Oryzias latipes: one gene and its partners. The protein of the gene in region 3 interacts with the protein of the main gene of each other region in a pairwise test. Links are inferred from orthologs where the notes say so. Each region holds a gene or a part of one and is shown on either strand. Other genes may lie near its edges. The genes, in order: gtf2b, pole3 and drap1.

The links.
Region 1: the proteins of drap1 (region 3) and gtf2b interact in binary tests that used the Homo sapiens proteins (3 or more experiments, as listed by UniProt). The two-hybrid records come from large-scale screens. The link is inferred for Oryzias latipes from reciprocal best matches to the Homo sapiens genes DRAP1 and GTF2B.
Region 2: the proteins of drap1 (region 3) and pole3 interact in binary tests that used the Homo sapiens proteins (3 or more experiments, as listed by UniProt). The two-hybrid records come from large-scale screens. The link is inferred for Oryzias latipes from reciprocal best matches to the Homo sapiens genes DRAP1 and POLE3.

What each region holds. Positions count from the first base shown.
Region 1 is NC_019875.2:5,826,469-5,830,221, forward strand, and holds the start of gtf2b (transcription initiation factor IIB), read right to left. Parts: upstream 2,294-3,753; 5' UTR 2,215-2,293; coding exon 2,198-2,214; intron 1,551-2,197; coding exon 1,438-1,550; intron 1-1,437. UniProt on the Homo sapiens protein: General transcription factor that plays a role in transcription initiation by RNA polymerase II (Pol II). Involved in the pre-initiation complex (PIC) formation and Pol II recruitment at promoter DNA.
Region 2 is NC_019861.2:5,686,248-5,690,000, forward strand, and holds pole3 (DNA polymerase epsilon subunit 3), read right to left. Parts: upstream 2,553-3,753; 5' UTR 2,354-2,552; coding exon 2,288-2,353; intron 889-2,287; coding exon 803-888; intron 712-802; coding exon 593-711; intron 526-592; coding exon 350-525; 3' UTR 184-349; downstream 1-183. UniProt on the Homo sapiens protein: Accessory component of the DNA polymerase epsilon complex. Participates in DNA repair and in chromosomal DNA replication.
Region 3 is NC_019876.2:27,236,808-27,240,560, reverse strand, and holds the start of drap1 (dr1-associated corepressor), read right to left. Parts: upstream 2,552-3,753; 5' UTR 2,342-2,551; coding exon 2,300-2,341; intron 303-2,299; coding exon 230-302; intron 1-229. UniProt on the Homo sapiens protein: The association of the DR1/DRAP1 heterodimer with TBP results in a functional repression of both activated and basal transcription of class II genes.

The DNA of each region.
Region 1 (3,753 bases), on a different chromosome or scaffold from region 3:
AATAAGACAATCAGATAAAGAAAATGAAAACTGTGGTCGTTCCAGATCAAAGTCCTGGAGCTTTGATCTTTCTTTGGAGGAAAAATGGCTGAAAATAGATCCGTGATGAGAATAAAATGGACTTCCTTTACAGGTGACATAATTACCATAATTTCCGGACTATAGAGCGCACCTGATTATAAGCCACACCCATTACATTTTTAAAGGATAAACCATTTTGTACATACATAAGCCGCACCTGTCTAAGCCGCCCGCATGTGCCCACATTGAACCATGTGTTGTAGAATGGATGTGTACGTGCTGAAACCGCTCGCCGGCGTGTGTGAGAAAGAGGGGGGAGCTCGTGCAGCGGGATAGGAAGAGGGAGCATTCTCATTCACTCACGCTCCTTCCCCCTACACACCCAGTGTGCTGACACAAACACATACTCATTCTACAACACCTATGTAGTTAGTTCATTAGGTAGATTTAGTTGTTACTGTTATTTGTTAAAGAATAATGCGTTGTAATTATTACTTATACCGGTATTTATTTGGAAACCGCGACACCGTGACTTCTCCTGCTTCTTCATCACCGCGGTGATCAAAAATCCCACACCGTCACAGCTCTATTCCAAACAGTGCCTGTGACACGGCAGTAACACGGCAGCAATACGGTAGTAACAGCACTAACAGGGCTGGTTAAAAAAAACATCGTGGTAGAAGTCACTGAGAGCAGCAGTAACTTATTGGCGCTCGCCTCTGCGCAGCACGAACTTCCTGTGCACTGAAACCATGGAAGTCTTCCTCCTCAGTGTCGGATTGGAAAAGCGTCAGATATTCTTCACCACACACGCTCTGTGTCTCTCCTTCGTTGTCGCTGTCAGTGTCACTCTCATCCTGAGGTAAATTCTCTCCTGAGTCTGCACTGTCCTCTCTGTCACGCAGCAGACCGGCTTTTCCAAACCCGTTGGTGATGGTGGATTTTTTCACACTGCTGTTAACCATTGCTTTTAACTTGAAAGCTGCCTCATATGCATTTCTTCTTGCATTTTCCATGATGAGGGTCTGTTCGTGCTATTCATTCAGAAAGCGGGAATTTACATTAAACTTGTGTCTTCCTCGACACATATACCTTATCCCCCGTCTCACTCTTTCCTTTTCTGCTCGAGCGCCCCTAGCAGCCGTTAGAAAAAATGCATAAATCAGCCGCATCATTGAATAAACCGCAGGGTTGAAAGCGTGTGACAAAAGTGGCGGTTTATAATCCGGAAATTACGGTAGCAGGGAAAAAAAAGCTTTTAGGTTTGTTCAAAGCGCATGTGAAGGTCTGACTGTGGAGGCCAGGTCACACAGAACTCTTTACAGCTTCAGCATCAAGACAAACCTCTCCAGCTATGGACCCATTTTACCTCCAACAAATGTAGGCCAAGTACAGGTTTATCATTGAAGTACTCACCTACAACAAGCCCACACTCGGGGCAAATCATGTCCCCAGCGCGGTAGTCCTCCACCAGGATGGCATCAGGATGGTTGGGACATGTCACTCTGGGTAAACTGAGAGCATCTCCGCTGCACAAGCAAAACACAAATGATAACAAAAATGTTAAAAAGGAGCACAAAAACAACAAATAAATGACGAACAAAGAAAATCCCTTAAAGTCGATGTTCCGCTACATTCTCCAAGGAAGAAGCCAGACACCTTGATAGGATTAACAAATATTTATTAAGTCTACAAACAGCCTATGTTTCCAGTATTTATCAGTCGCCTGGTTCTGTAGTTGCTTGTGTCATCTACCCACCAAAACAAAACGCGTTGAATTATGGGAAATACCCATTTCACGATCGCTTCAACTTTCCTAGCATAAAGAAATATTAACGAGTTTAAGTCCCGGTAAATGTGCGGACGTGCGCGTTTCCACGGAGTTTCAGGCTGATCCAGAACTCCTTCAGGCCAACGTTCAGATGTCAGAGAAACGACAAAACCGGGAGTTCTAACGGGCAGCCTCTTCCGTGAAGCTGCCCGCGAGCTAGCTGGCTGTCACGGACGGAGTACAAAAGACTGAACATTCCCGAGAAGAAAAATGGAGCCCGACACTTTCTACCGCCAGAGTCCCACGGTCAATCACAAGACGCGGTGGTTTTTTACCACGAGACACTTTGAGTCACATTAACAAAGAAAACCGGGCTTTGAACGGTTAGCAGCCATTGCAACTCACCGACTTGTCGAAGCCATCTTCCTCCGCTCTCTTCTCCCGGACGGATGCAGCACTTGTACTTATAGACTATTCTGATCACGTGACCAACTACGGGAAGTCAAGAAGGCCAAATAAGTTTAAAAATAAATAAATAAATAAAGTCAAAAATATTGTGTCACCTTTGGTGAAAAAAATAAACCTGTCCCTTTCTTTTACATTTCAGACCCAAAGCGAATAAATCATCAGACTACATTGCCTGCAATGTTGTTGCCGTTTACACATTTGACAGGTCTACTAGAAAGTTGAAGTTGGGTGATCTTCTTAGTCTTCATTCGTGTGTTCATGATGAATACACACGTTGTGTGTTGTTGTGTTTCAGCTTTTCAGGTTTATGTTGACCCCACAGAGACCTTCAGACACCTGATCGACCATGAGGGGCAGGCTTTGGCCCCTCGCGGGCCAAAGGGTTGATGTGTAAATGAGCTTAGTTAAGGTCGGGGTAAACTAGTCATGGTTAAATTTGGGTTGGGGAACTGTTCAAACCTGAGTGTGTGCTTCAGTGTCTTTTTTTCTCTTTACATTGTTTTTTTTCTTAAGCTTCTTTCATTTATTTTTAAGCTAGCATTACTAAAACATTTAACCAATAAAAACAAGTTAAAGACCCACTTTAATGGAAATCACGTTTTTGGTGTTTTTAATATGTTCTAATGGCATTTTTCTCATGATATGATATGATGACATATATAGAAAATTAATCTTAAAACTGCATTTCTGCCCCAAAAAATGTTTTTTTTAATGCATTACTGTTCACAACACATAGAACAAGTATGTATGACAAGAACAATAGTCATAAAAACGGGACTGCCAGGGGATGGCATATATTACAATAGAAATATTGTAAAACACATCACAATACATTGAATATGTTCAAAGACAGAGAATTTTCATAAATACGTATTCCCTTTTTTGTTTGTGCTATTAGAAATAGTACATAAATACGATTCTAATTCTTTAATAAATACAGGGGGGAAAAGTTGTGAAATTTTGATTTGTTGATGTCTAACTTACTTTATATTATGATTGGATTAATTTTCAATTTTATGTTTGATTTTATGTTCTTTTTATGTAGGCCAAATATGATTCATTCAAATTTCATCTGAAATTGTGAGTCAAATTTGTGATTTATAAAACAAGTACATTCTTTCCAAAACTTTTTTGTAATATTACAGTTCCAAAATAGGTGGCTGATTGTTTCTGGGTGTTCTTAACAAAGAGTACAGTTAGGATTTGAAAAAGCTTGTAGCAGTGACGTAGAACTTGCAACGGCAAACCAGAAGCTACCTGCTCCATTCTGATCATCACCTGCAGACAAATAGATCCATGAACATCTTTGTTTTCCTGGTGTCAGATAAATGCATCTAGACATTAAAGAAAAACACAATTAGAAAAAACAGACCACAACAATAATCAAGTTTGTCATCCACGAGGGAGAAAAGCAAATGTGGCAGAAAATGTCCACCACATTTCTCTTCTCAAATGACTGCTTCTCCCCGTGCTCCTTTTATTAAGAATTCAAG
Region 2 (3,753 bases), on a different chromosome or scaffold from region 3:
AGCCCCCGAACAGGTACGTGTGCTTTTGGGTCGTCGTCTACTGAACTGGTTCCAGGTCAGGTGTTTCCTCACCTGTCAGTTCAAACAGCCTGATGTGGTTGGAGGACTTCCGTATGATGACCCTGGCATCTGCTGCTGGAGGGCTCTCCTCCATTCACTTGTGGTTCAAGAACCTGTACGTTCTACTTGTATACAAAACATTTATTGAAACTACAAAAGAGTGTATCATGGGAACACCAAACCGCTGGCTGATGGAGAGGGGACTGCAGGAATGAAGCCGTCCTTCTGAGAGCAGTTTTTACAGTTTGTGAAGCCAGAGTCCGGTCTCATGTCGGACAGGTCTGTCTCCTCAGTTCTCCACCTCCTCTTCCCCCTCCTCGGTCTCCTCCTCCATGCGTTGTTCTTCCTCATCCTCTCCCTCCTCATCTTCCTTGCTCTTTTCATGCTCACAGTCTGCCTTCTTCTCTTTTTCTTTGCGTTTCTGCTCAGACACTTCCTTCTTTCCCTTCTGACCTTTCTTGTAGACTGTGGAGGAACACACTGTTAGCTGTTGGACAGCAGCATTCTGAGGCTGTGTGTTTGTGCGTCTGACCTTCTAGAGCCGCTCTGAGAGGCTCCAGGAAGCGTTCGAACTCCATCTCCTCCATCGCTGCCAGCACATCTGCAGCATTTAAAGTCTTCCGTTTGGCCTTCAGTGCAAAGTTATTGGCACTAAAAGCAGAAAACGGTCTTTATTTACGGACAGAAAGTGCTGAACGCAGAGTTTTGTGGATGGGGGGGGGGGGGGGGGGGGGCTTCTCACCAGGAGGTTGCATACAGCACAAAGACGCTGGCGGCCTGGGAAATGGCTCTGCGCGCCTCTTTGGATACGTTCACCCCATCTGGAAGCTGTGGGAAAGCAGAGCGTTAGAGAATCAGAACCGTGGCGGCAGAAACCAAACGGTTCAGAGAACCAGAGATCCGGATCACGGAACTGCCGGTGGATCTCTGCCAAAAACCTGCAGAGCTGAAAAGCACAGGACTGTTGAGAAACGCATGAGCAAACTCCTTTGGTGTAGCGTTGCAGTGCCACCATGTGGCAGCAGGAAATGACATGTCTGTTTAGAGAAAAGCATGCTGGGAAAACAAACAGTCACACAATTCTGTTTTCTGCACAGACACATAAAGGTGTACATCAAACCATAATACTGATGTCTCATAAAAGTAATGTAAGATTTTTGGTCTAGATTTTGATTAAGCAAATAGCTTTTTCCTCTAATTAGTAGATCACCATTCCTTTGCAGTACTAATTAGAACTCACATTTACTATCACCTCATTTCACTGCATATTATTTTAATAATCCACAACTGAGATCTCACAATCATTAACGATTGTAGACGCTTGTAGTGGACCAGTCCAAAACTATACAGAAAAACAAACGAAAAGACTAAAACTATTGTCAGTAGAAGTGCTGTATGAAGTACTAAGTGGTACTATGAAGCAATGGTGAGCTATTTATTATAAGAACAGGTTTTAAGGATTAAATACTCTGTATTAATACTATTTTTAGTAGTACTACTAATAAATGAAGGAATGATCATAACTCAAATCTGCTAAGTGATGTTAGTGTCACGTCTACTCACATTGGAGTGATAGATTTACTCAAAGACTATACAGTAAACCAACTAATTATTTGAGGGGTATTGTACTAAATAGTACTATGGAGGATCTGTGAGCTACTAATTTGAGGAACAGGTTTTTTTTTAGGTTAAACTCGGGCAAAGAGGCTACTTGTGTTTTTTTCGGTACTGTCATTTTCATGTACTGCAAACGGCCATCACGTTATTTGTCTCTGTTGATGCTTCTCCACCGCTTCAGTGTAATCTCACTCCTACAGTCCAGTGATGGCTGACATGACCCCAGCATGCATCCAAACAAGGCAAACTCCACACAGACGGGATTTGAACCAGCATGTTCTCACTGTAAGGGGAGAGTGCTGACCACTACACCACTGTGCAGTACGCTGGAAACTAATGACTTCTTTTTTTTTCTTTTTTTTTGCATCATGTAGGTAATGAATGACATAGCATGAAAAGCTAAATTAGTTTTTACAAAAAATACAAGTTAGTGAATAAACTGCTGCTTTAATCTTTTAATGAACGGACGTCCAGGCAGCGGGAGCGCCATCTTTGTTTTGGTTGCACACATTTAAACTTCGCCGTTGCTCGGTAACGATCGTTCAGGTGAGTCCGGCAGCTCCGACACTCGTCTTGCCCTCTGAGCTCCTTCCCGGGGTAACCAACTCACCGCCTCCTTGATGATGCGCGTGATGACCGCGTTAGGAAGGTTCAGATCCTCCGGTTTCTCGGCCATTCCTCCGCTCGCGCGGAAAACACGCAACTCTGCTCGGCGCTGAGCTCACCTCTTTGACTGAATGGATTCGCACGTGCGCTAAAGGGACACGTGCTGTCAGATTCAGCCTAAAAGCACTGGCGGAAACGCGTTTTTGTTTTGAGACGTTTCCCGCGAACCTCCCGGAAGGACGTCATCAGAGAAATTGCGACCTCCCGCCTTTTGTGATGTCATTTCCGTTCAAGCCCAGTTTTTTTAAATGAACTTTATTGACAAATATTGCAAACACACTGTATGTCACACAGGGACAAACAGGAACACCTGTGTCCGAATTACCGCCCTAACCCCTATCTAGTGCACTATATAGTGCGGTCGCCATTTTGTAGGGGGGTCCGAATAAGTAGCAGAGAACACAAGTGAAGAAACGACAGTTATTTTTTTTTGGTTTTGGTTTTTCCGTTTTTTTTTTTTGTTTTTTTTGGCAGATGTCGATGACTTTAGCTTTCACATCCTCTGTGTTGTTTTCCGGAACCCCGGCCGGCCTCAAGTTCCATCTTCGAGAATAACGCTCCAGCTCTTCAATGCGACTTTCACAGGACCCCATGCGCTGTTCCCCCATTTTAACCTGGGTGTCAACCTCCTTCATTTTAGTTTTCATTTCCTTCAGCCCCTCCGAAACGAAATCAATGGGTTTTTTCAGACCTTTGATTTTCATACAGCTCTCCCTCACTATCTTTTCAAGGGAATCAGATCTTGAATTGAAGAGGAAAGAGAGTTTGGTAATAATGCCTTCAGGATCTTCCATTTCAGAAGCTTTACCTCTTTTCAGTAGTGAGGACTTCAGTGGCGTATCAGGAAGGGGGGTCAAAGTGAAGTCGTTAGCTTCCATTGAGTCATCTGTTGCAGCCGTTTGGTTAGCATAATTGTGCGCGTCTATAACACAGCCTTTTGTAGGCAGACTATCTTGCTCTTTTCTTTTCTTTTCGGGTTTTGGCATGGTGGTGATATAAGATTGCTGTTGTCACAGTCTTTTTAATGTTGGCTTTAACAAGGCTTTCTTCCACAACAGTTTTTTTTACTTGACCTTACTTGAGGTTGAATAATTACGGAGCCCGTGACCTGACAGGGGTAAAAATAATATACTATTCGTTTCCTGGAAACAATAATGACCTTTTACACGCCTGCATTTTCAACCGGAAATAAACTGAAATGCTTCAAGTTACACATTTACTGTCAACAGGATAACTGGTTTAAAGCAATAATATGAATGAAACCTATATTACCGCATTGCATCATTGATGTTTTCATTGACTATAGCAAAGGTGATGACTACGCAGGGTGGCCCTGGGTGAGCGGCTGGATGGCAGACAGACAGCCGCTTTCTGCCGCCGGAGCGGCATAGTGATCTCCGGCGGCTGAGC
Region 3 (3,753 bases):
GTTTGCACAAAACGTCTGCACAGACCGCTTCCTCCTGAAGCGTCAAAAACCAGAACCAAACCTGCAGAGATGCACAAATCTGCTGACCGCTGCCCTTGAGATGAAGCTGATTAGTGCGACACACATGCGTGTGCTCTGTCTGCAAACACGGGCAGCGGTTCAAAAGGTTTGCACACATGCAAAAATCCCACAAGGCCCTGTGACGTTCCAACACGTTTGCAAAGGATACATATGATGACAGGAACCGCTGCAGCCACTTTTCCTATCTCCTCATCTGTTTGCATAATCTTCTTGATCCTTGCCTGAAAAGACAACAGTCTGGTGTTACGTGAGGACATGAGAGGACGACATGTTTAACAAAAGAAAAAAACGCCCAATCTGAGGCAGTTTATCCAAAGAGGTGACAGTCTAACCATGAAAAGTAGAGAAAGCAAAAGGAATATTGAAACAAATTAGCCCTCTGCAGACCCACAGTTGAGTTTGTCAGCCACAATGACACAGTTATAAATCCGACACCCTCATCTGCATCGTTTCTATTCAAAATCAAACCTGAAGGTTTCAAAAGGTTATTAGCTTTAACATTTTTAGTTTAAAATAACATAACAAGAGTTATGACACATACTGTAATTGTGATACCCCTTAGTGCTTTGAGTGGAGCTTTGCCTGTTTTCTCATTGTTTTGACCTTTGCTTTGTTTTTGGATTTATGCCTTTTAATTTTATCTACACATATTTGATCTTTGTTCTAAAACATATAAAAACTGTTATATCTCAATTTTTGTGGGTTTTACAGTAAAAAGTTACTTAGTTTTATGAACAGCTTGATGCTCATTGTAGAATTATTGTGTAAAAATCATCAAAAGTATGTAAAAAAAGGAGAAGAAGCTGGGGGTTCTGTACCCCCCCCCCCCCCCCCAATTGTCATGCAGTCCCACACCATGACTCGACCAACGCCGTGCTTGACTGTAGGCAAGACACCCTTGTCTTTGTCCTCCTCACCTGGTTGACGCCATCTGAACCAGGTTTATCTTGGTCTCATCAGACCACAGAACATGTAATCCATTCCTTAGTCTGCTTGACTTCTGGGCCTTTTTGTGCATCGCGTTTAGAAAAGTCTTTCTTGTGGGACAACAGCCATGCAGACCAGTTTGTGGCGTATAGTCTGAGCACTGACAGGCTCACCCCTGCAGCAAAGCTCGACGCTCTCATACATATGTGTGTCAAAGGTCAGCTTTGGATGTGATGCTGTGAATGTGCGACGAACTTCTTTGACCGACGACAGCGAGACCTGTTCTGAGTCAAAGCTGTCTTTTTTAAACCGCTGGATGGTCTTGGGGGCACCGTTTCCGTTGGTAACCTTCTAGGCCATCTTTACGTTAACCGACAATTCTTTTTTTTCTTTTCAGTGAGTGGTTTGCCATGAGGAGCCATGTTTAACTTCCAGTGATCAGTTTGAGAGAGTGTAAGAGCTTTAATGCTATATTTAACACACCTGCTATCTATTGACACCTGAGACATTGTAACAGTAAAGAGTCACATGATATCGGAGAAGGAAAATGCCAAATTCATTTTTGTTGCCAGGGGTTTGGCTATATTAATAGTCATTTTTTAAGAAAAAAATTTTCACTACTATAAAAGATGAACACGGACTACATTTTATTGTGTCGAAAAGTCTTGTGTCCAATGAAAACAGTGAGGGGTGTACTCACTTTAGTGAGATCCTCTGTACATTGCGTTGTCTTTCAATATTCCAGTTTTATGTTTAATCCACTCTTGCTGAGACTCTTTACATTAAAATCAAAATCTCTAAAATCAAAGCCCGTGTTCTGGTTATTGTAATTTTACACCCAGATTCGTTTATTATCATCTGAATCCCAATATTTATTGTCTAATATTAACATCCATCGGTATAATGGTGTGACTTTATCAGCTAAATCCCACAAACACCAAACCAGAACTTCATTTAGATGGTGCAGAAACGTGACATTTAAAGGGCGCCGTGCCGTGACAGCGCTGTGATCCATCACTGTCCGTTTATACAGCTATAATACCAGATTAGGATTAGCATAACAGGCTAAAAACAACAGGGCGCACAGCCTAAACTGCTCGGGGAACGACTCGTGAATTAGTTAGTTACCTGCTTTATTTACACGGACAATATCTCGGTGATGGAGAACGAATTGCATTAGAAAAGTCTTGCTTTAGCTTGTTAATTCTCTTGGCAACAAAAGAGGCCAAATCCCACTCAGTCTGCTAATGCTAGCGACTCCCAACACCCGATAGTTTACGGTTATACTCACCGGAGGGAATCTGGCGTTGTACTTCTTCTTTTTGCTCGGCATAATTAAATAACCTGGTGACTGAGCTAAAATAAAATGTTAAATGTTTGGGGTTATACTGCTATTTCATGTGAATTCACCTCCACCGCACGTACACCAGATAGCGTTAGCTATCCGGCTAAGTTGTTAGCGCGCTGTCGTCATCTCGTTCCTCGTTGCTTGAGGAGCTGAAGGGATCCGTTTGCTTTTGCCAGGTCCTAGCGCCGGTCATGTTGGCACTTGCTGCGCTACTCTCAGATTTCATTAGTGTGTAGAGAAAAAATACGGTGGCCGAGAAGTGCCAGATACAACAACAACAAATCCCAGTAAAAATGAACAAATACTGAAACACAACAGCAAATCACTGGAAAAAAAAATAGTGTCCTGAAAAGCCACAAAAAACTAATACTACTACATAATACTTTAATGGAACATTTTTTAAGAAACAAAAAATAAAGTCCAGTCATGTTTTCATTAAGAAGAAAGGTTGTGATACACTTAAAACTGTTCAATGTCAAACCAGCCTCTCCAGGTGTATCTTTTTATTACAGCGGTGAATCGAGGCCGTATACAGGCATGGGCAAGGGGGGTAATGTCCTCCCCTAAATGCTATGAATCCCCCTTCAGAGGTGATAGCCCTTAAAAATCCAAAATTAACTAAGAATTTAAAAACAAAAAAACAACGAAAAATATTCATACAAACATCAAAAACAAAAAAACAAAACAAAATTAGAAAATAATGTAATGGACAAGTGGACAGACATAAAAAGAAAGAAAAAAGATAAATGCAGCCTCAAACCAGTTTCCTGCTTTTCCCTGTAATTCTGGTGCCTCCCCATAGATGGTTCTCTACAAATAAATGGGCTGTTGCTCAGATGCAGAAGCTCATTTTGCATTGCATGTGGTTTTGGAATATATGTTGTTTTTCTGGGAAGCATTTTTCTATCATTCCAATTCCACTTGAACGCAGCGTTACTCTAATTTACTTTTTCCCTAAAGGAACATCAATCCATTGGTGCAAATGGCTCTAAAATGGGAAGAAAAGCCACAGTTTTGAAATAAAGACACCAAAATGTTCTACATGTATGTCAATTTTCTATCAAAAGCTACAGATGTTTTTGTCAAGATTCCACGTTATTTCTTCATCTCATGAGTTGTGATACCAAAACACTCTGTACAACAGCTCCCGGTCCGGCCTTTCTGCCAAATCTTAGACCCCTTTGTGGCCCAAGGGTTTAATATTACACAGTTGTGGGTAAAAAAGCAACAAAGAGAAATTCAAGATTTGGTCTGGTGGACATATAAAGAGATTATCATCCAGATTCATAAGGCAGAACAGCCTGGAACCATGCCACTGAGGGGTGAACGGTCACATCTAGAACACGTCATGTCTCTGATTTTATTACTGGTTTAGAAACAAATAAAACGCCTGCATT